4 linked regions of the Lepisosteus oculatus genome follow. The protein of the gene in region 2 purifies or fractionates together with the protein of the main gene of each other region. This does not show direct contact. Links are inferred from orthologs where the notes say so. Each region holds a gene or a part of one and is shown on either strand. Other genes may lie near its edges. The genes, in order: exosc9, mphosph6, zinc finger C3H1 domain-containing protein and c1d.

Region 1 (7,961 bases), on a different chromosome or scaffold from region 2:
AATGCATTGCAGCTCTAACTAGTTTGATATGTGGGATGTGTGTTGATTAATTATGTGTAGTATTGTAGGTCTAAGACAAGAATAATATACAGCATACAGTAACAACAGAGTACATCCAAAATGAAAGGCACACAGATAAGACAGTGACACTCACTATTTTACTGAGTTTCAAAATAACATGGGTTTCCTAACTTTTTTCTTTAAAAAAGCCACACTGTTTTGTTTAAATTTGGCATCCTTTGTTATTTGTCTGAATTTAATTCCTTATTAAAATTATATTTGAAGAGTAGCTGGGAATTATACCTGCTAGGTTCAAAAGCAGGGGAAGCCATCTGTGATAGCTCCAGGTTGAAAAAGAGAATTCCTTCTGTTGGGCGATTTTCTTTCGGAGCGACAAGTTCACAGGAAACTTGAGCCAACACTCTGAAAATAAGATAAGATCACTTTATTAGCCATATACAGTGTCTTTCATTATGAATTTGTCTTTTCACTCAAAAGGATGCAAAAATTCTTCAGTAAATTCCTAACTGGATTACTACAGGTAAAAATCACAGTTGGACAGGAGAGCTTCACAAAAAGTAAGTGATAAAGTATTTTTCACAAGCAATTAAGTGCTGTGTTAAATTAACAAGGTAATCACAAGATAACAAGATATACCAAAGAACATTAGATAGATAATACTTTATGAATCCCGTAGGGAAATTGATGTGGGACATTACACTTTCATTGTACATACCTGATCTGTGAGAGATAGATTTTTCAGCAATGATATCAACAAAAAACAACTACAGGACAAAAGTAAATGTAGAACTAGACCTTTGGCTGAAATAACCAAAATTTCACCCTTTAAACTTTGTCCTGTGAAACAAACAAATTCCTCTCATTATAAAACCACCTAAAGACTTAAAGTTTCACATTTGTAACTGCTACTGAAGTAGCAAAGGTATGGAAACAGCTCCTTTTAACAGCAATAAAATGTCTGCTGCTATCCTACAATGTGTGCTATCCTTACAATTCAGGTGAATAGTTTTCCAAGAGAGTTTGAGAACTGCTGCTGTACTTTTCACACTCAGCATCATAAAGAGATGTTCTGGTTCATTTACACAATACTTACAAAATCCATTCAAACACAAATCAAACTATGAATACATGTACTTTACTCTCTTCTCCTTAAAAAAGAAGACAAACTGTCAGAAATACATTCGTATTAATTATTAACACAGAATTGGTGAAAAAAGTGCAGATAGCAGGGAATGGAGCAATGCAGGCATAAATGTTCAAATTTAAACACCAATGTGCCTGAGATCACATTTAATTTGACTTGCTGAGAATTAAGCATTCAACAAGATTTCTTATCTTTCATTAAAACTCTTAATTAATCTCTCATTAATTGTGGATTAGACAAACGTTTACCTTGTTTTTCCAAGGTCAACAATGCAACATCCATACTGTGTACCAAAGGTGATCTTGATATTTCTGTAATCATACGTTTGTCTTCCATCTAGGCGCTGAAACAAAAAAAAAAAAAAAATGTGATATTTATTTCAAAGTTCCAAAACTTTATTGAGTTATATAGATCATATATACCACACCGTTAGAACTAAACACAGGCTCATGTTAAAATACATCTCACATTATCTCAAAAACTAGAATAATGGACTAAATAAAAAATCATTTTCAATTTTGTTTTACAGAGCCAACAAATATTATTTTATTCTTGTACGCCTTTCTCAGTTTCATATCTTTATATATTGAATGGTAGTGTTGTAAACAAAGAGATTATTTCCATATATATTGTTTATCAATTAAACTTGTAACAATAAGCATGTTCTTTTTTCCCCTTGATTTTACAGTGTTTTATCAGATATATTCAGATGTCAGGTATATTAAGAGAGTAACAATAAGAAGAAAAACAGCATGAAAGTGTATTTTTTAACAGAACATTTAAAATCACCAAATGAATCTAAAATGTTCACAATTAGGAATCTAGAAGGAACAGTATGGTTACAAAGTGGACATGACGAGGTTTTTTAAATTAGTTTCTATCTACAAATGAATGTGTCATATTTACTGAAGAGCCTTAGAAATGAACTGAACATCATACTGAAGATTGACTCAGGAGCTAATGTATTTAATAAGCAACAAAATGCAAAATTATATAAATAATAAATTATGCACAAAAATAATTTCAGATATTAACAAATATTTCAGATTATGTAGTTTTTTTGCAGATATAATTTTTTGCTGATTTACAAGAGATTACCTCTTTTTACATTCACATTTTGGGACCTATTTATACAGCTGGATCTGCTGGTGCACTCTGGATATAATCGTCATGTTCAAGAGTACTGCCGCGGCACGCAAACCTGTCAGGAATCCAGAGATTTAACCACTACCACCTCAATATTAATGCAGGCCTAAGAAATGTCCCAGTAACTAACACCTTCGAAAACTAACAACAATATCAATAGGTCACAACCCTGTACCTCTGCCGGGTTTCATTCCCGCTGAGCTCTAAATCTCCAGAGCTAACCGATGACTTTAATGGTCTGCTTACTTGTTTAAAAGTATTTCGACGCGTCCTAGGGTGTCTCACTTTGGGAAATCACAAAACTATGCACTTTTTTAAGAAATCGAATGCACAAAGTGAAGACTCCTAAGGGTAAGTTACTTAAGAGAAAAAAATGAAATATGTTGATTGCGTGAGTATTCAAAACCCTGATCTCAATATTTCCTAAAAAACACATTTAGCTGAAATTACTGTCACACGTCTCTGGTTAAGTCTTTAACTATGCACAACAATCTTGCCCATTCTTCTTGGCAGATTTGTTCAAGTTAACTAAAGCTCTAAATTATAATCATACCTTTTTCTCTTTTATGGCTGTCAGGAGGAACTGTCGTTCACAATTGGACAGCGGCGTTTCCCTCATTCTGAATTTCTGCAGAACCTGTAACTACTACACATGGACTCTCTGTTTCCCCTCACGACATGCACTAGGCGCAGACGGATGACGACACACATGATGCGACGTCAATGTGAAGTCACGTGAATGTGAAATGCGTTTCGGTTGTAAGACACTATACTATATTAAATACTGTATAGATTTCTTTGTACCTTATATATCTTTGATTTTACGCCACTGTTCTCAACTTTGACTTATTTGACAGCTGCTTTCTTGGCGTCACGTTGCCATTTCAGCGTGCACATTTTCCGTTAAAAACGTGCCTTTAATAAAAGGTAGCTGCGGGAGATCGCTAGTACAAAGTCAAGGAGGGCCTCGAATAAATTCAGTCACCTATTTTAATAGAAATAGTTTTGTCTGACATCTATGAGATGTAACCTCCCTCCGTAAATGTAGTCTGGTTTCACTGAATGTCATTGTTTGCTTAAAGCACAGTGTGGCGTCAAATAGCCAGCAGTCTTCCGCTGCCAATGCAGTGATCCGTATGATACACAGTCACGGAATTTTAAATACTAAATTCTTCATCTACTACCATTAAAACGTTTTAAAAAAAACAGCGTCTGTTTAAACCACAAATGCAGTTCGATTTTTTATTTATTATTTTAGAATTCAGAAGTAGGAAGTTGTAATCGTATACAGTTGTCCGTACACTTAATACCAAATGCGTAGTTCAATTTTCCCAGAGCTTTTATAAAATTTAACGTGAGGTAGTACCTGAGATGTTTGAAAGGGACATTAAAACAGCTGCAGAAAATAATTTCAATTGTCATCCGTCTTCTGTGTGTCAGCCGTTTTGTCTACCTGTCAAAATGTTTTTGGGCTGAATCATTATGTTGTCCTTATATTAGTGCATTTTGTGTCCTTAAACTTCGAGACACACGATAACTTTCTGAAAAGCTCATGAAACTTGGAAATTTAAAATAACCAGCCAAACCTGAGGTACGTGTTTTTGGATTTGCTCCACTAATTATCAAACTGCTCTAAATCCTCCATTATGTTCCTGTACTAAAGAAGGACAAAATAACTTGTCTAAATGACTACAGACCAGTTGCTCTTACGTCTGTCATAATGAAGACTTTCAAACGCATGATACTTTGCTGTCTCAAAACTGTTACAGATTCACATCTTGATCCTCTACAGTTTGCATTTAGGGCCCACAGGTCAGTGATGATGCTGCTACCATGGGTCTTCACTACATTTTGCATCATCTAGAACTCTCAGGTGTGTATGCAAGCATTCTTTTTGAGGCTTTTAGTTCTGCATTTATTACTATCATTCCAGAATGACAATAAATTGCAATAGTTGAATGTTCCCCTTTCCAGTGGATCTTCATCTTTCTCCCTGAATAGAAGGCAAGGGCTGTGTAGGTATGTGAATACAGGGGGTCCTCAAGGACGTGTGCCTTCCCCATTGCTCTATTTGTTGTACACCAGCAAGTGCATTTCCAGCGACTCTTCTGTCAAACTAAATAAGTTTGCAGATGACATCACCCTTGTAGGTCTCATCACTAATGATGATGAGGCTATGTACAGGAGGTCTGGATTAGTAGGTATCATGGTGCTGTAGCAAGTACCCAGAGCTTAATACCCTTAAAAGAGTAGAAATGGTTGATTTCTAGAAACATTCTCGAAAGCCTCTCTCCCTGGTAATTCCTGGTAATCAATGACGTGGGTGTCTGTGGTGAACTTTTTGGGAATTATGAACTCTAAATACCCTTAAATGGGACATGAATATCACCAGTATCAGAAAGAAGCAGAGCAGAGAATGTACTTTTTGCACCAGCTGAAATCTTGGGTATCTCTCAACTAATTCTAATACAGTTTTACAGAGCCATTATAGAGAGCATTCTGACTGCCTCCATAACTCAAGTATGACAGTACCTGTGTCAGCATGCGTGGGCTGTAAAGGAGGAAGTAAAGGTTTATTCCATGCTAAAAAGAAGAAAAGAAACACAACATTTTGGCCATGGAGCCTTCTTCAGGTGTGACACAATGTTTCAGCCATGGAGCCTCACATTTGTGTGAAAGAAATGATTGAGCACATAATAAAACAAATCATTTTTTAAAGGATGATGTATCCGTTCAGAAATGAACTTTACAGTTTAGCTTTACAGTTACATACATGTGAATGCACAAAGTAATAAGAAAATGCTGTTATTGTTATTATTTGGTGTTTGCTGTAGCCTCCTGCTTTACAGACCAGTGTTATCAGTCAGACAAAATGTAATGAAATACAGAGTAGAGTCTTGGATTGTCAGTGTTTTGACCAGTTTTTTAAATATTGTATACTTCACTTTGATCAATAGAAAACATTATCTGTTTCTATATATCTAATATTAAAACAGTCCTATTGTAGGAGTTGTAGTGTGCTGTCTGACATAGTGATCTCTTGATTAGAAAAGAATATCATGCCACTGCAGTCTTTATGAGTTTTGGTAGTTAATTTAACTCAAAGTATTTTAGGATAGCTGCCACATTACCTCACTGAAAGTCATCATTTCAAATTAACTGAATTAAAAATGTTTAGGCTTAAATTTTAAGGAAAATCCAATTTAAAGTAATTGATATACGCGGTCAGAGGAATTATAAAGCCTGGCACACAGTGTATGTGTCCCATAATCGCCAGTGATGATCACTATCAAGTGAAAAAACTGAGTTGCTTCAGTGTGGAAGAAGAAAATCTTCTGGGCAGGTTCAGCCATGTGTGATGGGAAATACAGAAATGTCACTGTGTGTGAGGTGCAAGCAAAGCAATCTGAAGCATTTAATCAGACTTTGGGTAACTACGTTTTTAAATGGCATTTGAAAAAAGTACATGTTTTTCTCAGCTCTGGAGTGGAAAGATCTGAAGGACATGTTTGTTTAGACCAGCATAGTGCTGCAGTGGTTAGCATTGCTGGGGCTCTGGGTTCAATTCCTAGAGTGCTGTCTGTGTGGAGTTTGTCTGTTCTGCCTGTGTTTGCATGGGCTTCCACCAAGTGCTCCCATTCAGTAGTCCAAAGACACACTGGGTTAATAGGCTTCTGGGAAAATTGACTCTGGTGTGAGTGTGTGTGTCTGTGTGTGTCCTGCAATAAACTAGCGTCCCACCAGTGTGTATCCTGCCCTGTGCCTGGTGGGATAGGAGTCACCTCTCCGAAGACCCAGAATTGGATAAACAGATTAGAAAATGAATGGATGTTTGTTTATACACTGTTTAGTTATTACTTCTTCTGTACAAGCACCTTAATCCCAGTGTGAGGATGGTCTTACCAACTATTCCTTGCCTTTGAAGGAAATCCATTTTCATACACCTGGATCTTTATGAGACATTTATTAAGAAGAAAAAAGAGAAATATCATCTACTGCTAAGCAGGCAGCACTATGAAGGTAAACTTGTTTTTACATGCAAAAAGGAGCAGTGAGTTTATTTTGGTTTCCTCTGAGCAGGATTCTTGTCATTTAAATGGTGTGCCAAAGGCTTTGAATAATTAAAAAAGAGACTGCAAACATTCACTTGGCACAGACCTAGCACTTTTTTCCAGCTGCCTCCATTTCCCCCCAGTTTGAAAGATTGTGTTCAAACAGGCGTTAAGGAAGGTCATCTCTTCTGTTAACAGTAGCACAGTGAGGACCTTGACCTTGAGCACTGTTATAATTTAATTCACCCATGGGAGACTTCCAGATTGAGTACAACACATATTGGGCTTTCATAATTAGTACCCTCCGTTGCACAACAAAGGTTTTGCTTGCTGTTGAATCCTTGGGGAAAACAATATGTAATAATGGTCATGAGATCCCTGCAGAGGGAGCCATAAATATTGATAGCACCATGTAAAAACTATTGAAATTGGTTTTATAGCTGTAATTTCCGGGCTTCATCTGGCAGCTGCATATGAATTAATGATTACCAACAATGTGGTGTCCTCATGAGTACCATGGCTCAAAACTGAAATGATCATATGGTTATTTACTGGATTCAGCACAAAGATGGCTGTCGGTATTTGTATTGTTTCTGTGTTTCAGACAAGGTTTGTTGGTAAGTGGTAAAAGAATCCAAAATGACAAATTGAAAGGTTACAAAATAAGGCCATCTATCCCATTTGGTAATTAGCAGCCAGTTGGTTCAAGAATCCAAAGGACTGAGTCTGTCAGAGCCTTTGAGGATTAGGAAGAATCGAATCAGGCTGCCAATGTAGTATTCTTGCTAGAGATACAAAGACCTGGTGGAGCAGTGCCACTCAAAGAGCTGGAGGGCAGGATACACGCCCATTGAAGTAGACTCCAAAGACGCTGAATAGGACCTACCACTACCTGGGCATCACTGGTGGTCAGAGGGAGAAGGCTATCTAAGCTGCCACTGAAGCCATGGAAAAAGCATCACGATGGTTGTGGATCAGGACAAGGAACCCATGGGTGCTACGTGGATGCAGGCCAGGGTCTGATCGGCCTCTGTTAGGTTGCCTGGGGGGAGGGTGTCTGATGTTGAAAGACCCGAAACACCCAATGATACCAGGAGACATCACTGATGATGCAGGATGTATGTTACACATTCAAGACTTAAAAGATTGGGAAATGTTAGCCTGTCAGTGTAGGGCATTCCTTTAAGGTCCGAAATATATCTGTTTATTTTTCTCTGGTTCCAGAGCAGCAATATATTTTTTGTAATGTGGTGGCCAACATTGTACAGAAAACAGAATTTTCCAAAGTCTGCAAAAACAGTACAGGGTTTACCCTAAACAAAAAGTCAAATTTATTTTTGATGCCATTTGTATTTTCAGTTAATTTAGTAAACATTGTGTTAATAAAAGTCATAAATATTTGGAATGAGTCACAAAAATGCTAGCTGTTTGGCTTTTCATTACTTGTATCATGTAAACATCTTTCTTGTCTGGTTTGGTTTATTTGTACATTTACTTATGATGATGTCCTGTACTGTTTTAATGCAGGATTGTGAAAGAAAAAAAACTTTTCCCATTAAATTTCTAATAAAAATCTCATCCTATGTTGCCTTGATTGC
Region 2 (7,929 bases):
GCTGGACTTACTCCTTGGCCTTGAGCTCTGGCAAATCGAGGTACCAGTGTTCATCGCTGATTATCCTCTTTTCTTCCTCCTCCAGCTGCTTCTTGACTTCTGCGTCCAGGCCGCGTTGCATGAACTGGGGAAAGACGAGCATCGTGCTTCAGTCAAACAAACCACAGCTCCAGGCCTGCCATTGCTCACAGAGTCACAAGACAGGGGCTGGGAAACCAGCTCATACCCAGCTGTTCAGCTGAATGTTCTGCTGGCAACAACCCATGAGAGGCTTGGGAATACTTGTAGGCCGAAGAGAACACACATGTGGTATAAAAAGAACAATTCATCATTGAGTAGGCTGAAGAGGGTGGTCAGGGAATGTCACACACAAAAACCGGTAAATACTGAATATTAAATGGTTGGCACTAAACATGAACTTCCTTCTCCCAGTTAAGTAGTCATATTGCACAAAGTCCTGCTGCTCGAGTGAGCATGGGGTAGTGAGGACTATAGAAAAAGCACAGCACAGATCTGCAGGATCCTATATTGACCAGCTGTAATCCTGCCCTGTTCGCACAGCTGAACTGCCATCACTCAAGAGGCTGAGCTCCAGGGGTTAAGGCCAGACATACTATTTAATAAAAGTGAGCCAGAGAGTTCCCTCCCTGTGTGATTGTGTTTTCCCACAAAGCCAAGAACCTAGCAAAGGCCAAGATTTTTTTCTTTATCAGAAAAAGAAAACATTTTTGTCCACATCTCTTTACTGAAGCAGCACATTGCGCATCGTGTGCTTTGAGCCCCGAGTCGTGTTTAAAACACGCCGCATCTAAAGCTCTTCACAATGTTGATTTCTGGACAGAAACGGCCGATGTCTGAGAAATGAGTCGGATAAACCCTCCAAGTGTGGGAGGAGAGGACACAAAAGCAGAACTCATTGGGAAAATACCAGGGAGATCTGCGAGCTCAGCAAACACGATCACCAGAAAAGAGGGGGAAAAAAAAGAAACCTGCACCTGTAAACCCACTATCTTGAAAACTGGCAGACCATATTGAGCTGTTGATACTTTTGTCTTTCATGTGCTTTGGTGATTAACGGCAGGATCTGCGAAGCGTGCTCTTCCCTGACAACCCCAATATTCTTCACATGTCTCCAGCAGTCTTAACATCTCAAGCTTCTCTTAGGCTTGGGATACACAGCAGGAGGCAATTACTGGGCACTCTACCATTTCACAGGAATACTTAAAGTAATTCAAACCCGGGACAACCTGCACAGCTCGGCTCTCCCAAACGAAAAGAAGCGCCGTGCCAGATCTCTCGCGCGTTAATGAGGTGCAGCGAGCGGACCGAATGATGCACGAGGCCCCGAGACAATTCTTGAGAAGCGGCGTGTCGGGAAAATTTTTGAAAGGGCTTTATCCCCCCCCCTATTTACAGGGCCCCACCGTGATGACAAATTCAGTGCAGAACGGAAAAAAAAAAGAAAACAGGCAGGAGAGACAGGAACACAGAGTTCTTAGACTGCTCAAGGACAAATGTTCCAAGGACTGAACAGAGACGACAAAAAATCAAGCCACTGGCTTTCAGTGCGATTATCTGTAAACCTGGTGGGTTATTTGATCTTCCTTCTACAGAAAGCTTCAAAATGAAGTCATTTGAAAACTTTCACATTATCTCTTTAAAATATATAAGCTCACCCTTTTTGATATGTTGTACTCCACGCTATGTATAACTAAGAACAGTAACGGATGAGAGGAGGCCATCAGGCCCCATGTGTCCAGCTCGGTACTCAATTGATCGTAGGCTCTCATCCAGCTCATTCCTGACAGAAGCCAGGGTATCAGCCTCGTCAGCTTAGCTGTGTAGCTGCACACTCCCACAGCCCTTTGGTTAAAAAGGAGCTCACTGTGCGTCTAAGAACCGCTCCTTCATCTCCGTGCTTTCTCACGGAGGCAGAATTGTCATGCTGTGCGTAGAGATACATTATACTACTATGAAACAGAAGATAATACAGTTTCTTTCACAGCGTATAACAGTATTACATCTTTTTATCGGTCTTTTCTGTTCCTTTTGCACATCAGGGTATTCGATGAACTGAGAAAACTGGTTACAGTACATTTTTGCAGTCGCGCACAGTAGCTGGCAGAGAAACTCGCCAAGCTGCTGTGGGTTCAGCCTCTCCACTAGGATCAGCAGCAGAGGAACACCCGAGGTCTTCTGACATACCCCGATATGTACATTTGCAAATGTCACCAAAAAGAAGCAACTTATAAAAGAGGAAAAAAAAAAAACTCCTTAGCGGCAGTAGTTAACATTTCCGTGGATTCTCTAGGCAGATTAGGAAATGAAACCCGAGGAATGCAGGACATTCTACTGATCTATAACAGGCTTCATAATGGGACCGTCACACACGGATTAAATACAGAGACAGACAGGATATTTACATTACTGATAATAGCAGATACTTAAACAAATGAAAGAAATCTACTTGACTGTTGTACTTCTGGTTATAAACTACTACATTATGAAAATCGAGTGCACTTTTATCAAACGCATGGGCTAAAAGTTACGTTCATAGCCCTCTCAACGTGTTTCAAAAGCACTCACTTTGTCGGATATTAATGGAGTACTCTTAATAAGTATCCAGGTTTTCATGACACACACGTCCTTAATATCTTACTATAAACTCGTGCATGATTTTACAGTTTATACACAAGAATCTCTTGGGAAAGGAGCATGCAATTTTCAACATTTAACACACGGGGGAAAAAAAGGCCCGATACCAAATCGATTAGGAGTCCTGAGACGCCACACTACAACACATTACCTTCATTCGTAAGAGGTTCTTGGACAGCTTCGCGGTACCATCGCTTGCCATTTCAACCACCGAGTTCGGCAAAGTAAAAAAAAAAATCTAATGTTTCTAAAAATATCAACCCTACGTTACTCAGACTAATGCTAAACCTCCAGACGGCGGAGAGGAACACGCTGCAGTACACCGAGCGAGACAGTATCAATCCATCTGCCGATGCAGTCCCCCCCCCAAGCCCAGGCCAATGGATCACCGATTCAGAGTTACCTCTACGGAACACACAGTTACACGTGTCTCCACTCCGCCGCTGTTGCGGACCATAGACAAAGTGTTGAACCATACATTTGCAATTGTCGCCTATTACAAAACAGGGTCGCATCAAGATGGGCGAAATCTAATCCGAGTGCCCGGTTTAGACCAGTTTTATAAATATCACATGATAAATGTATATATTTATTATACACGTAAATGGATCTATATAATCACGGTTAAGAACTGATGCTGTGCATTCGGATTTGAGTCCGGGCTGGGGCTCCTTCTGTGTGGAGTTTACATGTTCTTCCCCGATGATAATACTTCCTTACAATTATAAAGCGTTTTTTAGACACTCCACTCAAAGCGATTTATAGGTAACGGGGACTCTCCTCCTCCACCCCCACCAGTGTGCAGCCCCCACCTGGATGATGCAATGGGAGCCATAGTGCACCAGTACACTCCCCACACACCAGGTCTCGGTGGGAGGAGAGCAGAGTGATGGAGCCAGTTTAGAGATGGGGATTATTAGGAGGCCATGACTGTTAAAGGCCAGAGGGACATGTAGCCAGGACGAGAAACGCCCTGGGATTTTTAATGACCACCGAGAGTCAGGACCTCGGTTTTACGCCTTTTTACAGCACAGTGCCCCCATCACTATCCTGGGTATTAGGACCCACAAAGACTGCAGGGTGAGCGCCCCCTGCTGGCCCCACTAACACCTCTTCCAGAAACAACCTTAGTTTTCCCAGGTCTCCCATCCAGGTACTGACCAGGCCCTCACCTGCTGTGCTCCAGTGGGGAGTTGCAGGGTGATATGGCAGCTGGCTTTCCTACTTGGCCAGAGTTTCCTCGCCAGAGACACGCGAGTGTGTACATCTGTCCAGGGGGTACCCTCACTTTGCGCCTTGTTTCTGCCACGTAGGGATCGCTGGGGTGCGCTCTCCTTACCAGGACTGAACCGTTTCTGACAGAAGATCGAGCAAGAAAAATCGAGAGATTAAGTCATTCCAAACCAGGAGCGATTTTTTTTTTTCAGGTGCAGTTTCACGTTGGGCCGGCGGGACTGCGAGCGCTGAACTCTCGCCAAACTAAAGCGATTGAAGATCGAGAACGACTAAGCGTTGGTCTACTGCTTGAAATACCGTCTTCTTTTACAGTCAACTCTAGGAAACATCGTAGAAGAGTCTTGTGGGGGTGAGTTGAAATTGGATTTTTAACCCGGTGGAATGGTTTGCCTGGTTTCCAGGTAAATGGTTATTGAATAACGCTCAACACTTGAAACATTGACACCCTTTTCCTTGGGGAGAAGACTATAACTCACCAATACTTATAGGGCAATGCATGTATTTTCATTAAATATTCCGAATATAATATTAATTTTAACATCACTTTCTACATATCCTTTATTAGCGTAGATTAGTCCCTCCACACTTCATACTGTGTCATGAGGATCATTTCAGAATAGCACAAAAAGTTGTGTATATTCGTTTCCTTTTGCGAGCATCTGAGTCTGAGTCTGGTTGGTCTGTCTATATTAGCGATGTTCCTATAGCCCGTGGATACAATATTTTTGTTTTCTCTCAAAGGTTAAATTAACTGTATGACTTTTAAATTCCTTCAAGAACACCTGTGAGACCATTTGAGCTTTTCTCCGCAGAACACAAGCGCAGCTTGTATTTTATTGAGAGCAGCAGCTACGCATGAGAGGATATACATAGCAAATGGTTTATTCATGTTATGCTCCGGGAACAAATTTAATATGCTCCCCTGTTTGGTGTGTGTTTTATGAATTCCTGCGCTTGCCCGGCAATCCCTGTGATTGAGCAGAACTTTGCTGTTCTTGATACAATCAGGTGTGCGTGCGTTATTTTCCGAAAGCCCGCGAAGCAGAACCACTTACAATGAAATTTGTTTTTGACTAGTTCTAATTTTCTTACCTGTCATAGCAGCGAAGATGAATAAACTTCGGCGGCATGCACTTCAGAGATCTGAGTTTAGTACACGCCGAGCAGGAAATCGTGTTTGACAAAACAGACCATTTCTCTTTTCGCATGATGTTGTTCAGTGTTTTGTGGTTTTGATGGATTTTTTAAAACAGTTTTTCAGCTAGATTATGATGCCACGAAGTAAACACAAGCAAAAACGAAGAAAACGGCGTAGCTCACACTTTGTTAATAAAGGAGCTGCTGTTCAGACACTGCATTGTCACGCGTTTTTTTCTTGAAAAATGACTAAACTGAATTTAACCTGAAACATCGAAAAGACTGTTTCGCTTTTAATTACTTCTTGTACTTCTTTAAAGAGGAAAAACACAGTTTAACACGTTTTTTTCTTCACACGTGAAGCGACTGTTATTTCCTAATTTTAAAAATATCGGTGCCCACGTAGAAATGTGGTTGTCCGGTGATGATGAATTGGGTATTCAGCTACACGAACTGCGTGTTTAATGGCTAAACTTCTGCCACTGGTGCAAGTGATTACCGGGGTGTTGCTATACAGCAGAATAAAACTGATTATTAGGAACAAATATCATTGTGCTCCACTGCCCACTTGTCTTTCATTACTGTTGATCAAACAGGAGAAAAAAGTAAAAGTAAGCAGAAACGGCCTTAGGGCCAGTGTGAAAATCACTTTAAATACCGCATAGTGCAGTTTGAGTATTTCTTTATTGCAAATGTCAATTAATAGTCATTTGAGAAGAAATATCACGAGAAACCATAGACATAAAAGTGTTTTGCATTATGTAAATATCAATTGCTAGTGAGAACTCAATCGACGCCACCTCTTGTGCAGTTTATGCAAAATTGTGTATCGTTTGTACTGAGTCTGTAGGCAAATATGAATGAAAGATGAGGAATGGGATACTTGATGTGATAACTAGGAAAATATGCTTTAATTGGTGTTTCACTCAGTGGATGTCAGGGCTGGACATAATTTCGAATCAGTTATTTTGGGATCAGTTACTTTTTTTAACCCAACTGATTAAAAACGGCTAATTTTATTTCCACACAGTGGCTCGTGGGCTGTGCATTACAATGAATAAGGCTCGTGGGGAGACTAAGTCGCCGCTGTTTGCTGGAAAGTTGAGAGATCCGTCCATTTTCTAACCGCTTCTTCTAGTTCAGAGTTGCGGGAGAGCTGGAGCTGTATCTAAATCTACTCTGAACAAGCTGCAGTATGTCCAAAATTCAGCAGCCAGAATCCTGACCAGGTCTAGTGCAAGTGTTCACATTACTCCTTTCCTGGAGTCCTTGCACTGGCTTCCGGTCAAATTCCGCATAGACTTTAAAATCCTCATGCTCACCTATAAGGCTTTACATGGCTTGGCACCTCAATACCTGTCTGAACTTTTATCGCCCTACTCCCCACCTCGCAACCTCCGCTCTTCAAATTCTGCCCTCCTTACTGTCCCCCAAGCCCGTCTACATTGTATGGGTGACAGGGCCTTCTCCTGCTATGCCCCCAAGCTCTGGAACTCTTTGCCCAAGGATATCAGAGAGTCACCTTCTCTAAACTCCTTCAAATCCAGACTTAAAACCTTCTTCTTCAGGAAAGCCTTTACTTAACTGGTTCCATTCTTCACCCCTCTGCTCTTAATACCACCTTCCACAGCCTCCTCTATTGTTATTGTTGTATTGTTGTAATTATAATTGTGTCCTATCTTGTGAAATCTTCTTATTTATTGTTGTAGTCTTTTTATTTATTGTTATTGTCATCCTGTAAAGCGCTTTGAGAAGCAACCTTTAAAGGCGCTATATAAAATAAAGTTTATTATTCTTCTTCTTCTTCTTCTTATTATTATTATTATTAAACACAGGGAGAACAAACTGTACAGACGGCACCTCAGGTCTGAAACTGAACACAAAGCCCCAGCGCTTCGAGGCACAAATTCTAACCAATGTGCCGCCAGTGTACAGATCCCAGAACAACCTGCCCCTTGCCGGATGTGTCCCACCTCCTGCTGGTGATACAGCATGACTCAGGCTTGAACTTGGGATGCATGCAATACAGACATTAGCCATTAAGTGGAGCAAGTGCCTTCGCTTGGTGAGACACTTGGGTTCTCCATAAAAATTGTTGACAGCATGCAAGAAGAAATTATGATTTATGTCTTACATTTTAATATTACTGTCATACCATGCCCTTAGGAGCTAAAAGCTGTTTTATGAGTGTTTTTTAGAGTTTAATTTAGAGTCCTGTGATCAGAGTTAAGTGCAACATTGAGTTACTGAATAGAAAGCTTAATTGTTTATGTGTCAGACATTTGTAAAATATGTCTTGTTACATTACTTGCTAGTGTCACACTTGAATGAACCTCCACTGGGTCAGATTCACCGTAGATGTGGCAGCAGCTGTTATTTCTATGCTGATGAAACCCGACATTAATCAAGCACAGTCTGTTTTGTCCTATGGCTTAGATCATGTGAAAAATAGATGCACTTTTACTTCTAAACTCTAGCCAGACTGAAGTTTTGTCAGTTGTATCTCCTTAGTATCTTTGCCAATGTGACAGCCCTTGGCTGTTTACCGAGTAGCTCAACTGGAAGAGGTGTTTTCCCGCATGCAGATGGACTTGTCTGGTGGTGGGTTTGAGCCTGTCAGTGACAGAGAGACCCCTGCACCCTCCCATTTGCTCCTAGGCATGTAGGGCTCTTGGTGAGAGATGTCTCTCCTCCAGGTCTGATGCAAGAAAGCGAATGAATGCTGTTGTCTTTTGCTGGCTTGGTTATTGCCATGTGTTTCTTACTGGTGGTTTGTTAAGTTAAGTTGCAGGATGTAGCTGTGCGGTTTTTAAAGGAAAACTAAAATGCATTTATTGCCTGTTTTCGGTTAATTGCACCGATTGCCTGTGGAGCTGAGAATTCAAAATACTAATGCTTGAA
Region 3 (6,948 bases), on a different chromosome or scaffold from region 2:
ACACTAATCAGGAAAGACGTTTTTAACTGAGGTATCTTTTACCCAGGAAACTCAAGTTCCCTAAAAACACAGAATAGCACACTCTAATAAGGTTCAAATACTTAGTCTAAATTGAAAAACCTTGGAGTGATATTCTAATCTGGATTAACATTCGACCCACATCTGTGGCATATTGTCAAAACATCTTTTTTTCACCTCAGAAATATCACTCAACTAGGCCCTATGCTGTCACTAATTGTGGCTGAAAAGCTGATCAACACATTTGTGTTCTCTCTGCTGTAATGCTCTACTCACTGGGGTATCTAAATCTACTTTGAACAAACTGCAGTATGTCCAAAATTCAGCAGCCAGAATCCTGACCAGGTCTAGTGCAAGTGTTCACATTACTCCTGTCCTGGGAGTCCTTGCACTGGCTTCCGGTCAAATTCTGTGTTGACTTTAAAATCCTCATGCTCACTTATAAGGCTCTGCATGGCTTGGCACCTCAATAATTGTCTGAACTATTATCGCCCTACTCCCCACCTCGCAACTTTCGCTCTTCAAATTCTGGTCTCCTTTCTGTCCCCCAAGCCCGTCTACATTGTATGGGTGACAGGGCCCAAGCTCTGGAACTCTCTGCCTAAGGATATCCGAGAGTCACCTTCTCTAAACTCATTATAATCCAGACTTAAAACCTTCTTCTTTAGAAAAGCCTTTACTTAACTGTTCCATTCTTCTGCTTTTCTTAGTACTACCATCCTCAGTCTCTTCTGTATATTGTAATTGTTTTCTTTATTGTATTTTTTTCATTTATTGTTGTTGACATTCTGTAAAGTGCTTTGAGAAGCCACCTTTAAAGGTGCTATATAAAATAAAGTTTATTATTCTTATAACTTCCCTAGGTATACTAAGGTAAACTTTACCATTGTTTCTGCCCAAGGGACCTCCCCCAGACATCAGCAAACATCCTCTTTGCTTTATAATTAGAAGTATTTTCTCTTCTCAGTGTCACAAACGTTATCTAAAATCTAAGAGACACTTCTAAGTCACCTAGCTGGAACATTAAGGTATTCATTTGCACCGAACAATGTACAAATGACAAACAATGTACAAACAATGGTTTTGAATAGTTATGCAGTCACAACTTTTCCATTTGTCTTTCATATTAATTATTGACTTCTTTCTTTTTGTGACTGATGTGTAGAGGTATATATAACAAATGACTGTAAGCCACAAAGCAGCAAAATGTCAAAACTATGCAAGTGTCTGAATACTCTTGCATGGCACTGTAAATTCAAATTCATTCTTTCAAATCCATCATCATTAAATTCCCTATATTGCTCTTGCTGGGTTTCACAGAACATAAAAAAGATTGAAAAATAAGAGGACAGACAGCCTATTTACAGTATATTTTTTATTCTACCAAATACATTGTTGGAGAATCTCATATATCCATTTCTTGAAAAAAGCAGAAGCAAGATAACAGTTTTGACAACAAGCAGCCTTGCTCAAGGCTTTCAAAGCATTATTACCAGTGAAAGTAATGGTGACTGCTTCTCATAAACTGGGACTAGTAAGCTTGACAAGAGTATTGGGAACATAGAAAGGCAATGTGCAGGCAACATTTAGTGGTTTAGAATTATTTAGAATCTTTGGAAAGACTTGAAAACGTCTGTACAGAAGCAATACCCAAGAAAGCTGAGAGACCTTTAGCAAATCTGCCAAGAAGAGTGGGCATAAATTCCATGAAGCTGGTGTACAAAGGTACACAAAGGTACTGTACACAGACTTACTCAAAATGACATAACATAACATGAGGTGACATAACATAACATGGAGGTGGTGGCTGAGAGGAGAATGCTGACCAAGCTCATAGCCATCATGAACACCTCTCATCCGCTTCATAGGACTGTTACTGGGCAGGGGAGTACATTTAGCAATAGACTGCTCCAGCTACGGTGTTCAAGGGAACATTTCCGCAGGTCTTTCCTCCTGGCGGCTGTCAGGGTGTATAACGCTGCCCTAGGCTAGGACTGTTAGCCCTTCATTTGCTCCTCTATGGACAGCATGTTTACTCCATTGTACTTTTTGGACAATCAGTCTGTATAAACCTATGCACATTTTGCACATATTTTATTGTTTTTACAATGACTATGATCAGCACATTTTGCACACACCTATGTATTTATTTATTTTTATTTATCTTGTTTGTCTTTTGTTTTATAACTATTCTGATGTCTGTTTTGCTTGTCTTGGGCTGGACTGCTGTAACACATCAATTTCCCTACGGGATTAATAAAGTATTATCTATCTATCTATAACAACAACATCACGTTATTAGCCCTATACAATTTCTTGCATTAGGAATTCATCTTTTCACATACCCCAGCTTGCTTTCCATGAGAGGCAGACAGGAAGAGAGAAGTTTGGGCTCAGAGCACAGGGTCAGCCATTGTACAGCAACCCTGGAGCAGTTGGGGTTAAGGGCCTTGCTCAGGGGCCCAATGGAGTAGGATTTCCCCACCAGCTGTGGGATTTGAACCAGCAACCTTCCAGCCACAGGCGCAGATCCTTAGCCACAGATCAAACTGATTAAACATGAAACTGTATTTGTTGCCAACGGTGCTTCCAACAGATACTGAGTTCACAGGTCCGAATACTTATGCAGTCAACATATTTCAGTTTTCTTTTCTCTTTAGTGTTTGCTGACATTTATTGTGTTGTATCCTACCCTTAGAGATATTCAGTCTGAGGCTTCAGGTCTTAAATGACATATTAGGTTTAAAAAAAATGTGTATTGTTTTGCGATTTTAGAAAAAGGACACCATAGGATGGGTCTGAATACATTCGGAAGGTACTGTAACGTATAATGTTCAGGAACATGATACATTTCCCCCAAGCCCATCTATGATGGCGTTTTTAAAGAACATGCTTCATGTTAATAATTTTCAAAATACCTGTCTCATAAACTGTTTTTAGTGTGAATTTATCTAAAGATCTGGAGGATATTTTTCTTAATACTTTTGTATTATGCCCCACAAAGGGGGCAATTCATGTGATAGTTACAGAGCACCTAAAGTAAATCCATGCTGACCCAAAGATAAAATGCACATTCCACGCAGAATTCACCCCATCCAGAATTGAACCAAGGACCTAAGAACTATGAAACTATAGCAACCACCCACACTGGAATGGAACTGAATTAAATATATAACATTTCCATTCTAATATTATTTTTCTGCCATAGTATTTTGTGTTATAATGTAATTCTTTTTTAAAATTCTTGGAAATCTCTAAATGATTTAAATAATTACATGTTTACTAATTTCATCGTTAGTAAACGACACGCAAAGAAGTAAATAATTGGAAAAATAAAAGCATCTACACCTCTAAGATTCATTAAGTGTAAATAACTTTGAACAATACGGTCAAACGTCGCTGCGCGGATTTGCACTGTATATTTTACTAAAAATGTCGACTTTCGCAGTGTCCCGTTATATTCTTCAGGGTAAATTTTTGGGACAGTAAATGAGCTCTCAACTCATTCAAGTCAGGTCTTTCAGGTTATTTAGGAATGCTCAAATATTTTACTTCATGTGGTTAAATGAGCAGCTTCTCCTATACCCGGGAAAATTTAACATGCAAGATTTATGGAAACAAGAATCCATAAGGTTAAAATGTAATCACGGAAAACAGTTAACATTGCATCAATGCTACACATGACGTTCGGGAATTTACAATTGCTTCGTGTACACGAACGAATTTAAGGCATCAGTTCAGCACTTTTATTGAGGAACACGAAAAACCAAAAATACCAAAGTAAGGTTACATGCCACAAGTAAATCGCAACTTTCTGCGTCTGTCATTGCATGCTGGAAACACACAGCCTATCAACATGCAAACGTCTAACACGCTGGCAGACGCAGCTTCTCCTACGACATTTGCGCACACTCGGTTTTCCTTGCGAGTCTCGCGATAGAAGAGAGCGACGTGAGGCCGGATCTCGGACCAGGAAAGAAGATAGGGACTGCTGGGGAATTGCACGTCTGTAATTGCTGATTTCACAACCTGGCCCAGGAGCATTCCTGCCTTCCAGAGCAGTTACATCAGTAGGGAATAGCGATGGAACTGAGCTCGAGCGTTCGGTCTCCGAGGGAAGAAGGCGAGCTGGAGGACGGGGAGATCAGCGACGATGACACCGATGAAAGGCAATTCGTGCGCCGTGACAAGAGGCCTAGCAGCAGCTGTAACAGCAGCGCAGGGCGTTTCGCTCGGAAGCCCAAACCCGGACCGCGGACATTACCGCCGCCTCCCATGGGGGGACCCGGCCTCGACTTCCGAATGAAAATGCCGTTCAACCGGGGACCCCATCCTCATCCCCCCAACTTAACTGGCCACAGGCAGCAAAGTGGAGCAGGCGTCCCCGACCGATCGCTGTCAGCCCAGCATTGCGACTCGGGTCCCAGATCGTCTTTCTGGGAGCGCAGCCACACCGCGCTGGGCAGGCTGAGGTACCGGAGGCCAAACGATGGCCGCGGAGACTGGGGCAGAGGGGGTTGGGGTGAGGGGGTTGGGGGCAGAGGGACTGGAAGGCCGCCCCCATGTCGACTTGGATTCGCCGGGGCACCTATCAGGAAGGAGTCCCCTCCAAGAAAGCGTATCCTTGCCCGTCCTTCGTTGCCACTGTACGAGTCCGACTTCAAAACCCGTTGATTTTTATACTTTCCTGGACAGTGAATCGTACAGCGTGTTACAATTCGTATCGCACATGTTGAAGCGATGACCGGCTTCTGTAGATTCGCTGCCCACACTCGAAATGTTAATGTGACCATTTTGGGTAACTGTGGCTATAAATATTCCTTTTCCTAAGACGAATAAGAGCTGTGTCCCGGTCGTGTTTCTAGGCGTTACCCCGACCACATTTGCAAAAATGTATCTTTTGTTCTTATTATACATACGGTATATGTTAGCTCTGCTACAAGGCTTTAAACAGACAGCTCAAGAACAATCGTCGAGACCGGAGGTCGACGTCAGCACCTAACAGGCGCAGAATCCTCTTTCGTTTGTACAGTTGACTTCCGCTGTTGGCACAGTCAGACGACTTCAGGAATAACGCAACCCCCTTGAGTTGTACGGTATAGGATAGCGGACACACAAACCCAAACTAGTGCGAGGAAGAATATTTGGTTGAGGTTTTTTTGAAAAGCACATTACGTTTGTACCCATGCACGTAGCTGGGCATTTTCCTGGAGCAAATTGGTCCAATTCCTCACTGCTCATGTGTTCAACAGACGTTCTTTCATCTTTCTGTAAAGAAAAGTAAAGCAATCACAGATGAATGGTTCATAATCAAAACACTAACAGTTGACACCTTTAAGCAAAGACTATTATTTGTGAACACCTTTTCTTCTTGTGGATTAACTGTCCACTTATAAGAACAAAGATGTCATTTGGCCCATCAAGCTGGTAGTTATTAATTGATTAATTTCATCCCATTGTTTTCTCTAAACCAAGGTTATCGGCTTCAATAACATGCCAGGGTAGCTTGTTCCATGTTCCCATAACTGTAAAACAAGTTTTAAATGCATGTTGTTTCCACTTGTGCTCACTCAATTTTAAATAATACAAATGGTTAGTTAGTAATACATTTGCTATGTAAAACTGTTATATAATGCAAACCTAGCATGTTTTTGATTCGGTTTTACAGATATTTATCTTCCTTCACTTCTTTACTCAGCAAAATTGTTTGGGAGACCTCAGGTGAGGAAACCCATTCATAACACTGCCAAAACCGAAAATGGTATTGAAGAAAGCTTTGAGGATTTGCTTTTGAAATATAAGCAAATTCAACATGAGCTGGAATGTATTAGGAAGGAGGAGAGGATGGCGCTGAGCTCCAAAGATCCTTCGCCTCAGAAAGAGGTAGAAGGAGCCCCCAGTGTTGATCAGGCTGTTTCAGGCACGGTCAGTATTCAGAAGGAAGCTGCTATAAAAGAGTCTCCACCTCCGGAGAAGCCCGAAATCAAAGTTTTTCAGGCTTTTAACCTGAAACCTTTAAGGCAGAAGCTTCTGACCCCTATGGAAAGAGATGAGATGAACAAGAAAAACACGAAGGAAGCAGAAAAGTCAGAGAACGCTGAAATAAGCCCCCTTGAGCCCAGTGACACAATAAAAGGTAAAGAAAATTCCACCTTAACATAATTGTACATCACATTCACCATTTTATTTGACCTCGCTAAAATATAAACACCATAGGGCTTTTCCCACTTACTAGAGATGTGTGTGTGATATGCCACTTTTCTCATTTCCTTTTTTATTTCTACTACATTACTCTAATGGTTCTCTTTGTAATGCCTTTTCATCCTTACAGATGTTAATAATTACCCTAATAAGTCAGTCTTTTGCTACAATTCCGTTTAATTTGTGGATTGCCTCTGTCTTGAACTTGTAATGTCTGCCTTGAAAGTGTGCGGATTAGTCATTTGTTTTTACTTTGACCAAGTCCAATGGGAGAAGTGTTAAGCTTGTTTCTCTTTCTTAAAGATAAGGAAGATGAGGAGGAATTGGATTTAAACAATTCTTATCAAAGCAGCAAAGAATCAGATGACCTGCCTTATACTGTAAGTAACACAGAATGACATTCACAACGATGTCCGACTCGGTTTAGTCTTAGCAGGCATTTCTCCCACAGATGTTTTGCGTACACCACAAAGCTGTATTAATCATACAGCATTTGAGTGTCTTGGACAAGATTTTCCTGCATTGTTCTTCATGATGTGATGAAATCATCGCCAAGATTGATTTGAAGACAGGTTTTTTCAGATTACACCTTGTATTAATTAATTCAAAAACATTTCCAATAGGACTCAGTAAATGACTGAATTAATTACTGCACCAGTGGAGAAACGTTCTAAGATTTACTCGCATTATGTAGTAAATGGCAGTGTGGCTGTTAGTACTGCTGGCTCA
Region 4 (7,182 bases), on a different chromosome or scaffold from region 2:
TGATCATCATGTGAATGCTCTCTGATATATACACTAAATCTAAATTAAGGGCTGTAACAGTACAGCAATAATTCAGTAACAGCATTAGTATTTCATACACTGTACCATAATAAACCCAGTAGTTAACAGTCTAATTATGTACAACGTGGATCCTTTCAAGATGGTTCAAATGGCTGCTGCCAGTAAAAATCCCCAACGTTTAAAATTTTAGACTGATCTGGTCAGGAGATTGTAAACTGGCACACATTTTTCCTCTGGTACGATCATTTGATCAATGTAACATTAAGCTGATGTGGGAACAATTTGTTCTTTTCCAACTGATTCACAAGTCAGAGCTCAGAGGAAAAAAAAACCTTGGAATCTTAAATCAACAGTGATACAGTAAATAATTATATAATTTTGTAATATTACAAAATAAAATAAGAATTTATTTTGCTGCTTATTTCAGGGGACTATATTGATTCTACTTTCCAAATGTAGTTTTTTTTACTCTGCAAAAGACAACTGTAGGGAACAGACTAAGCTCTCAAAATGTAAACAGTAAATATAAGGAGTTTTGAGAAAAACTACCAAACATATTTCATATCTTCTCTTCCATTTAGTTTCGTTAATGATTAAGTCATGCTTCAGTAATTATTTCTCGGAATATTGTGTTCAGTGACACTGTGTTATTTGGTCTTAATCGGTTGGCAGGGAATTATTAAAAAAACTGAAATTAATATGTTGTTCTACAAGCCCAGATCAAGATAATCGTAGAATCTAAACATTACAGCATTAACTGAGTTTAAATATCTTGTTCCTAACTCAATTATGTGATATGGAGGAATAAGTATTGTTCTGACATTGCAAATTAAAGAAAAGTAGGTCACAAGTGAATCAAACGTTTTTTAGGTAGTTTTTGGCTATGTCCCAGTTTAACATACACTCACGTTTCCCAGAGAATTGACATTTGTGTTCATGAGACACTACAGTCTGCTCATTGTATAAAACAATAAACACTGATTGGCTATTTTACCTGGTAAACCATGAACAACAAAATATGTATACACACCAGAAGCAAAACTCAGCTAAATATATAAACAGAAAGGCAGAGCATTTCTCAAATTTGTCATGCTAAGGGATTTGAAAAGGTCTGGCATATCACTGAAAAGTTACCCTTTAGGTAATTTTAAGTTATACCAACTTACTAGAAATTACACATTAATGTACATTATTTGTGTTTAATAGATCAAATCTCAGGTTCTTGCACTTTGATGCCCACTGTTTTGGTTCCACACACAGAACCTTCCAGTCTATACTGTATTCTGTGAAGATTGCTGGGCAAAGATACTCACCCATATATACAGTACATACACAGTTCAAGCCCTGTTCTGTAACAGATACTGTGTAATTGAAGCACAAAGGCTTTGGGAATTTACAAGAGCAACTGCATTTCAAGATGTATCCTATGACTTCCAAAAGCTATACCACATCACAGGACAGCACATAAAACTGTCACATCTCCCTATTCAACACATCACAGTGTGCCAAAAAAGCTTTTAGTTTATATTAGTAAATGAGTCGTCTCAAATGAGAAAAATAAACATATTAAAAAAAGAACACAAACTGACATTTTTCCAAGTGAAGTCCAATCTTTGAACCACTATCAAAATCCATAAATTCCCGTCATTTACAATGAAACAACAAAAAATAAAAAACGTAACAAAATACTTACCAATTCTTGTTTAACTGCATGTTCTTTTGGGTTTATTCCTTGTGTCACCAAGTATACTGAAACAGAAAAAGAGATGAGGTCACTACCTGTAAATGAAACAGCAGTCATTATAAAAAGGCAGACAGAAATGACTTACTCCAAAACAATGAATTCAGGGAATAGGCAGAAACTAAATCCAGTTTTGCTTGCTCAAGGGGGTCCAGCTACGACAAAAACAGAACACATTAGTCTTCTTATACAGAAACAGCATGAAGCCATTAGGAAAATGAAAATGAATGGCACAATAAAATGAACATTAAGTATCAGCAGAAGGGAATTTGAGCCAAGAATAAAACAACAAGAAATAAAAGCAAGTGCACTTGATATGCTGCTTATTTGCCTACATGATTGGATATGGTGGGACTAATAGAATTTTTTTACCTGTATTTGGATTAACTTTACATTCTTTTTGTTATAACCCAGAAGCCAAGTTTATAAATTACTTATAAGAAACCAAATCAGACTAATACATTATTGTACGAAAACTATAATATTTAATAAATGTTTTTTTACTTTTAACTTACTTGTTGAAGCAGCTCACTCCTGGGTATTGACATCATTGTCTTTATCATGTTATTCACTGAGCTCACAGAGGTCTCAAAGGCTGTCAGGTACTCTTCAATCTCTGTGGGGTAGTCCTCTGCTGCAACATCTTCATCTGCCATATTCTGAAATCCAGAAATGTTTTCAGTAGAAAATATGCTGCTCCATACGGTCCATGCGTTGCTATAAAACAGCTTCTTGCCGTTTGGTGTCTCTAGAAATGGTGTTTAAGTAAAATCTAATCTACAATAGTTTACATGACAAAATTAGTGCTTTAATTTTATTTTCATTATTTCCTAATTTTGTTATTTATTCCTATTTCTTATTTTAGGATCGTTACACAAACGAATCCCAGAAAATAAGTATCCAAGGATTTAGCTTCTTAACACACCTTTACTTAAGAGGACACCTGATGTTGACTTAAGTTTATACTATAGTAACTAAAATTGAATGTTTATTTGTAGCAAAAAGACAACGATATAATAAAACAGAAAAGCACTTTTTCTTGTTGGAATGAAATGTGTGATATTATATTGTTAACCGATGGTCAATATATTTTACGCGGTTCTGAACAGTTTTTGCTATGTAAAACTAAATGATGACATCAAAACACTATAAAATTAAAATTACTAACCATACCTCTCCTCTTTTTTCACCTCCTCTGCTACACGTTTCTCAATAATTAAACTTCCGGGTGAAATTTCCGGAACTGTGTCATTACTGATGCATTATTGGAATCGTAGTTTGCTATTGATCTCAACCAGAATAATTTTTAATTTAGTCTAGCTATAAATCTCCAAACTGGGTAAGATTAATGTAACCGAAAACGTTGTATATAGATATGTATATATAAAATATCAATGCGCGAACGTCAATAAAAATAAATTATTTCGCATTCTATATCTGTTCCTATGGTTACAGCGTCACAGAAATCCAAAACCAAAGTTAAAGAGGACTAGAACCTTTACATTAGTGTATGGATTGTCATAGTGAAATAAAATGGATAACTGTGATTTGGAAAAACTTACAGTTTCTGCGGGAATGTTACACCCCACTTTCTCACCACTTTTAACAAGCTATAAAGTGATTGTTCCCAGCAACATTAGCAAAATAACGTTGGATCTACTAACAAGTGACAGCGGCGCATCATACAAAATAGTAAGTCTAATAAGTGCAATGATTTTTGAGTGATATTGATGTTTTCCGTGGAATGCAACGTACTGTAAAATTACATATTGTCGTATGTGAAGTATGCACTTACACCCACAACGTCGAGCTTTGCTTTAAAAACACAATACATAAATGTATTACATATTTTTAAATAGCAATAAGTATCGGTTTTACAGAAATTCGTAAGGAAACTGCATTGCATCAACAATTAATTAATTATTAATCAGTGGGAAAACAATAGACTGAACTGTCGGCGATCATATTTGCATGATTTTTGTCAGCTGTGTGGTAGTGGGTCCATGGTGATTGAACTGAAAGATGGAGTGAACAAAGTTGACATCGAAGTTATCGCTGAGGACGGAACAGCTAAAATATACACTGTTGAGGTAACGAAACTGTCTGCCAGCGCTGCAGAGCTGAGTGGCCTCGAATTTCCTGAAGGTTTACAGCTCCAGCCAGCATTTGCTACCACCATCTTCGAATACTCGTGTGAGTACAATATAGCTACAGTATTAACAGGTATTTATTTCTATTTGAATATCTGTTTCGAGTTACTAAATACCCATTTCATCTACCCGTTTAGGTACTGTTCCTTTCAACCTAAATGCTTTAACTGTCCAGCCCAAAGTACCAGACAGCAACATGAAGGTTTCTGTGAATGAAGCAGATCCCTCTGACTCTGTACCGCTAACAGTGGGGGACAGCCTGCTGGAAGTCAAAGTTTCTTCAGCAGATGGCACCAGATCCTGTGTAAGAGCACACTGCAACATTTTCAAAGCAGGGGGAAGTAAAGTATGCATGGAAAACGACACTGTTTACATGCATTGTAAATAGTAACAAGGTTAAGAGTTCTTAAACAACAAGAGGTAAAAATGAATATGTTATCCCAGTCTTGCTAATTGAAGCATGTCAAATTAGCCAGTTGTGTACAATGTCCAAATATGCAACTTAAACCCCAACATGATACAGTAATGTACATTGCATAATGTCCAAATATACAACTTAAAGAACCATATGGTTTCTTGTCTTTCTCTTCTAGATTTACACAATTCTAATTACTCGAGAACAGATTCCGTATGTTATCACTTTCAATACTGTGAAAGACCAGATGGAATATGAGTGTCCTGTCTCCTTAACAGCATTTTACAGACCTGTCTCAATTAGTGGCAGGTGAGAGGATATAACTTTGACAGATATAATACCGGCTGTATTGATGTTGACTTTTTTAATGCACTTGACACTTGCGATGGAATCATTACAGTGCATATCACCTTAAAGTAGTTTTCATAACATACATGTGTTATTTATATACTTGAGTCATAGAACAAAAAGGCATATCAACCCCATGATGTTGCACGTGTAGTATGTACCTTTGTGAAAGTAGAAAATGCTCCATGCAAGTATAAATCTGAATGACAAAGATATTAAAAAGCAGCCAGACAATTTAGAAATACTGTAGAGTTGGGCTCAATAAAGAGCGTGCTGTAGCGCTGTAGCGCTGTTATTTTATTTCCTTTTGCTGTCTTTTCTGCAGCGATCCAAAGCACGCATTTTCAGCTCCATACATCGATGTCCTCACCCGGCGGTCAAAGGTGGACCCACTAGATGAAAGTCCTCTAGGGGAGAGCTGGAAGGTGACGGAGTACGAAGTGGACAGGAGGATGTCAGCTGCCTCTGTGAAGTGTTGCTTTGCTTATCGAGGTATATAGACTCACACTCAATGATACCTGAATAAGATAGGATAAGCTCACTTTATTGGCCATATACAATTTCTTGTATGAGGAATTTGTCTTTTCGCATACCCCAACTTGCTCTCCATGAGACACACAGACAGGGAGAGAAGCTGGGGGTCAGAGCGCAGGGTCTGACATTTATACGGCACCCCTGGAGCAGCTGGGGCTAAGGGCCTTGCTCAGGGGCCCAACGGAGTAGGATCTTCCATGTAATTAGATTTTTTAAAAATATGTATTAACTATCACTTTGCCAGGTAATGTTAGCCAGTGTTCAGTTTTTTTTTTAACCTTAAATAGATTATTGGACATTGAGGAATGGCATTCCTGTAGTTTTTCCTGAGACAAAGATGCTTAAAAATAATATGCAAGAACTGCTTCATTGAAGCAAGTCCATTACCAAACAGCAGAAGCTAATAAACCTTAGGTCGCAGACATATCTGGATATTTATTTAAAATGTTCCTTATTTTTCCTATTTCGTGTTAAAGGTGAAGGCTTAATAGTTAACATGGCAGCAGCTGAACTTTGCAGGCTAAATTATGAGTGGAGGTTATTTTGATTAGACCATTAGAATAATCCTTTAAAGTAGACAAAGTTAATGAAGAGTGCAAGTTGTCTACCTAAAATAGTGTTTATGACTAATAGTTTTCATTTAAATAAGAATGTTTTGTCTTTTTCCATTTTAAGGTTGTGAGATTGTGCTAAAATTATCAGAGCTTGGCGAACATGTAACACACTGCCCACATAAGCCTCCATCTGAGCTGGATGTAAAGGTCAGGATCGTATTCAGAGGAACTTAGTATTTTTCTGCCAAAGTCCCTGTTTTCAATTTTTTCTTAAACTTTTATCTATTATGTAAAGCCCAATGATCAATATCTGTAGTACAGTATATCTATCATTTTAAATGGAATTGGGTTTGTATAATTTCATTTTACATATATTTATATCCAGTAAAAAGCCAAGTTGTGTTTTGTAGTAGTGTCAAAAGAAGAACTGCCTTGTAAGAACTGCCTTTTCTGAACTTGTATTCACAAAATGTTAATTTTTAATATTTTCAGGGTGAAAAAACTGTAAAATGTAAAATATTTATTTAATATTTAAAATATTTTGTTACTATTACTAATGTAAGCATAAAAAAACATTAGTATTTAAACATTGGGCTTTCATGCTTAGAAACAATTTTAAGAATTCTTTACCTGTACTGTATGTAAAAATAGAATAACTTTGGTTCAAGTCAGTTAAGTGTACCTAAAATGCAATTACTACCAACTTTGTTGATCAAGTGCTGTTGGCTCCAGCGTTGCTAAGATACTCTTTTGTGGGTCACATTCTAAAAAATCAGTCTCTCACTAATGCTGAAAAATATTGTTTAATGTTCCTGTGACATTTTGAAATGTCCTTGTTTGGCATCAGCGCTGGTAGATAGTTATCTATGAGAAGATGATTACTGAAATAGATATTTTGTAAGTCAATCTTTAATATAACAGATCTCTGCCAAAGAAATGTAAGAAATGTGACCATGTTTGTGGTTTCTGTTTTATACTTTTTAAGTTAAACTGCTAATTTTCATAAAGAAAAAAAATAGTAGTAGCATAAATTGACTAGGTACACAGGACCCATGTTTCAGACTAACTTTCCATTCTGTGTAAGAATTTCAATTCTTTTATTTGAATACACAACTTAACATGAAGCCTTTTATTTTCAGGATGTTACGGACTCTGAATGGTACAAAGCACAATCTGCTTCTTCAGATAGTCTTCAAATTGAGACAAAACATACTCTGCAGGTAAACAAAAGATCACATGCTTACTGTAGATCACAATTATTTTACAAAAAGTGTAAATAATTTATTCTTTATTGATTTAAATTTAATAAGAACAGTAAAGATTCCATGTCTGTAGTGTTTTTTTTAAATAAAACATATTAGTAGTACTAAAGTAGTTATAAAACAGCTTTAAAAAACAGAATTATAATTTAAAATTAAT

Evidence for each region.
Region 1: the proteins of mphosph6 (region 2) and exosc9 purify together in Homo sapiens (affinity purification with mass spectrometry; 5 studies listed by BioGRID and IntAct, with this or other methods). This does not show direct contact. The link is inferred for Lepisosteus oculatus from reciprocal best matches to the Homo sapiens genes MPHOSPH6 and EXOSC9.
Region 3: the proteins of mphosph6 (region 2) and zinc finger C3H1 domain-containing protein purify together in Homo sapiens (affinity purification with mass spectrometry; 3 studies listed by BioGRID and IntAct, with this or other methods). This does not show direct contact. The link is inferred for Lepisosteus oculatus from reciprocal best matches to the Homo sapiens genes MPHOSPH6 and ZFC3H1.
Region 4: the proteins of mphosph6 (region 2) and c1d purify together in Homo sapiens (co-immunoprecipitation; 3 studies listed by BioGRID and IntAct, counting the BioPlex papers as one, with this or other methods). This does not show direct contact. The link is inferred for Lepisosteus oculatus from reciprocal best matches to the Homo sapiens genes MPHOSPH6 and C1D.

What each region holds. Positions count from the first base shown.
Region 1 is NC_090696.1:10,753,240-10,761,200, forward strand, and holds the start of exosc9 (exosome complex component RRP45), read right to left. Parts: upstream 3,005-7,961; 5' UTR 2,931-3,004; coding exon 2,865-2,930; intron 1,509-2,864; coding exon 1,414-1,508; intron 424-1,413; coding exon 304-423; intron 1-303. UniProt on the Homo sapiens protein: Non-catalytic component of the RNA exosome complex which has 3'->5' exoribonuclease activity and participates in a multitude of cellular RNA processing and degradation events.
Region 2 is NC_090715.1:14,997,269-15,005,197, reverse strand, and holds the start of mphosph6 (M-phase phosphoprotein 6), read right to left. Parts: upstream 3,006-7,929; 5' UTR 2,858-3,005; coding exon 2,807-2,857; intron 125-2,806; coding exon 12-124; intron 1-11. UniProt on the Homo sapiens protein: RNA-binding protein that associates with the RNA exosome complex. Involved in the 3'-processing of the 7S pre-RNA to the mature 5.8S rRNA and play a role in recruiting the RNA exosome complex to pre-rRNA; this function may include C1D.
Region 3 is NC_090702.1:22,680,176-22,687,123, forward strand, and holds the start of zinc finger C3H1 domain-containing protein, read left to right. Parts: upstream 1-3,934; 5' UTR 3,935-4,101; coding exon 4,102-4,636; intron 4,637-5,716; coding exon 5,717-6,154; intron 6,155-6,522; coding exon 6,523-6,599; intron 6,600-6,948. UniProt on the Homo sapiens protein: Subunit of the trimeric poly(A) tail exosome targeting (PAXT) complex, a complex that directs a subset of long and polyadenylated poly(A) RNAs for exosomal degradation. The RNA exosome is fundamental for the degradation of RNA in eukaryotic nuclei.
Region 4 is NC_090712.1:8,566,156-8,573,337, reverse strand, and holds the start of c1d (nuclear nucleic acid-binding protein C1D), read right to left. Parts: upstream 3,021-7,182; 5' UTR 2,934-3,020; coding exon 2,931-2,933; intron 2,422-2,930; coding exon 2,278-2,421; intron 1,918-2,277; coding exon 1,851-1,917; intron 1,771-1,850; coding exon 1,715-1,770; intron 1-1,714. Other genes in the region: uncharacterized protein, read left to right, coding at 3,296-3,454, 3,748-3,955, 4,050-4,216, 4,506-4,636, 5,001-5,167, 5,885-5,970, 6,903-6,983. UniProt on the Homo sapiens protein: Plays a role in the recruitment of the RNA exosome complex to pre-rRNA to mediate the 3'-5' end processing of the 5.8S rRNA; this function may include MPHOSPH6.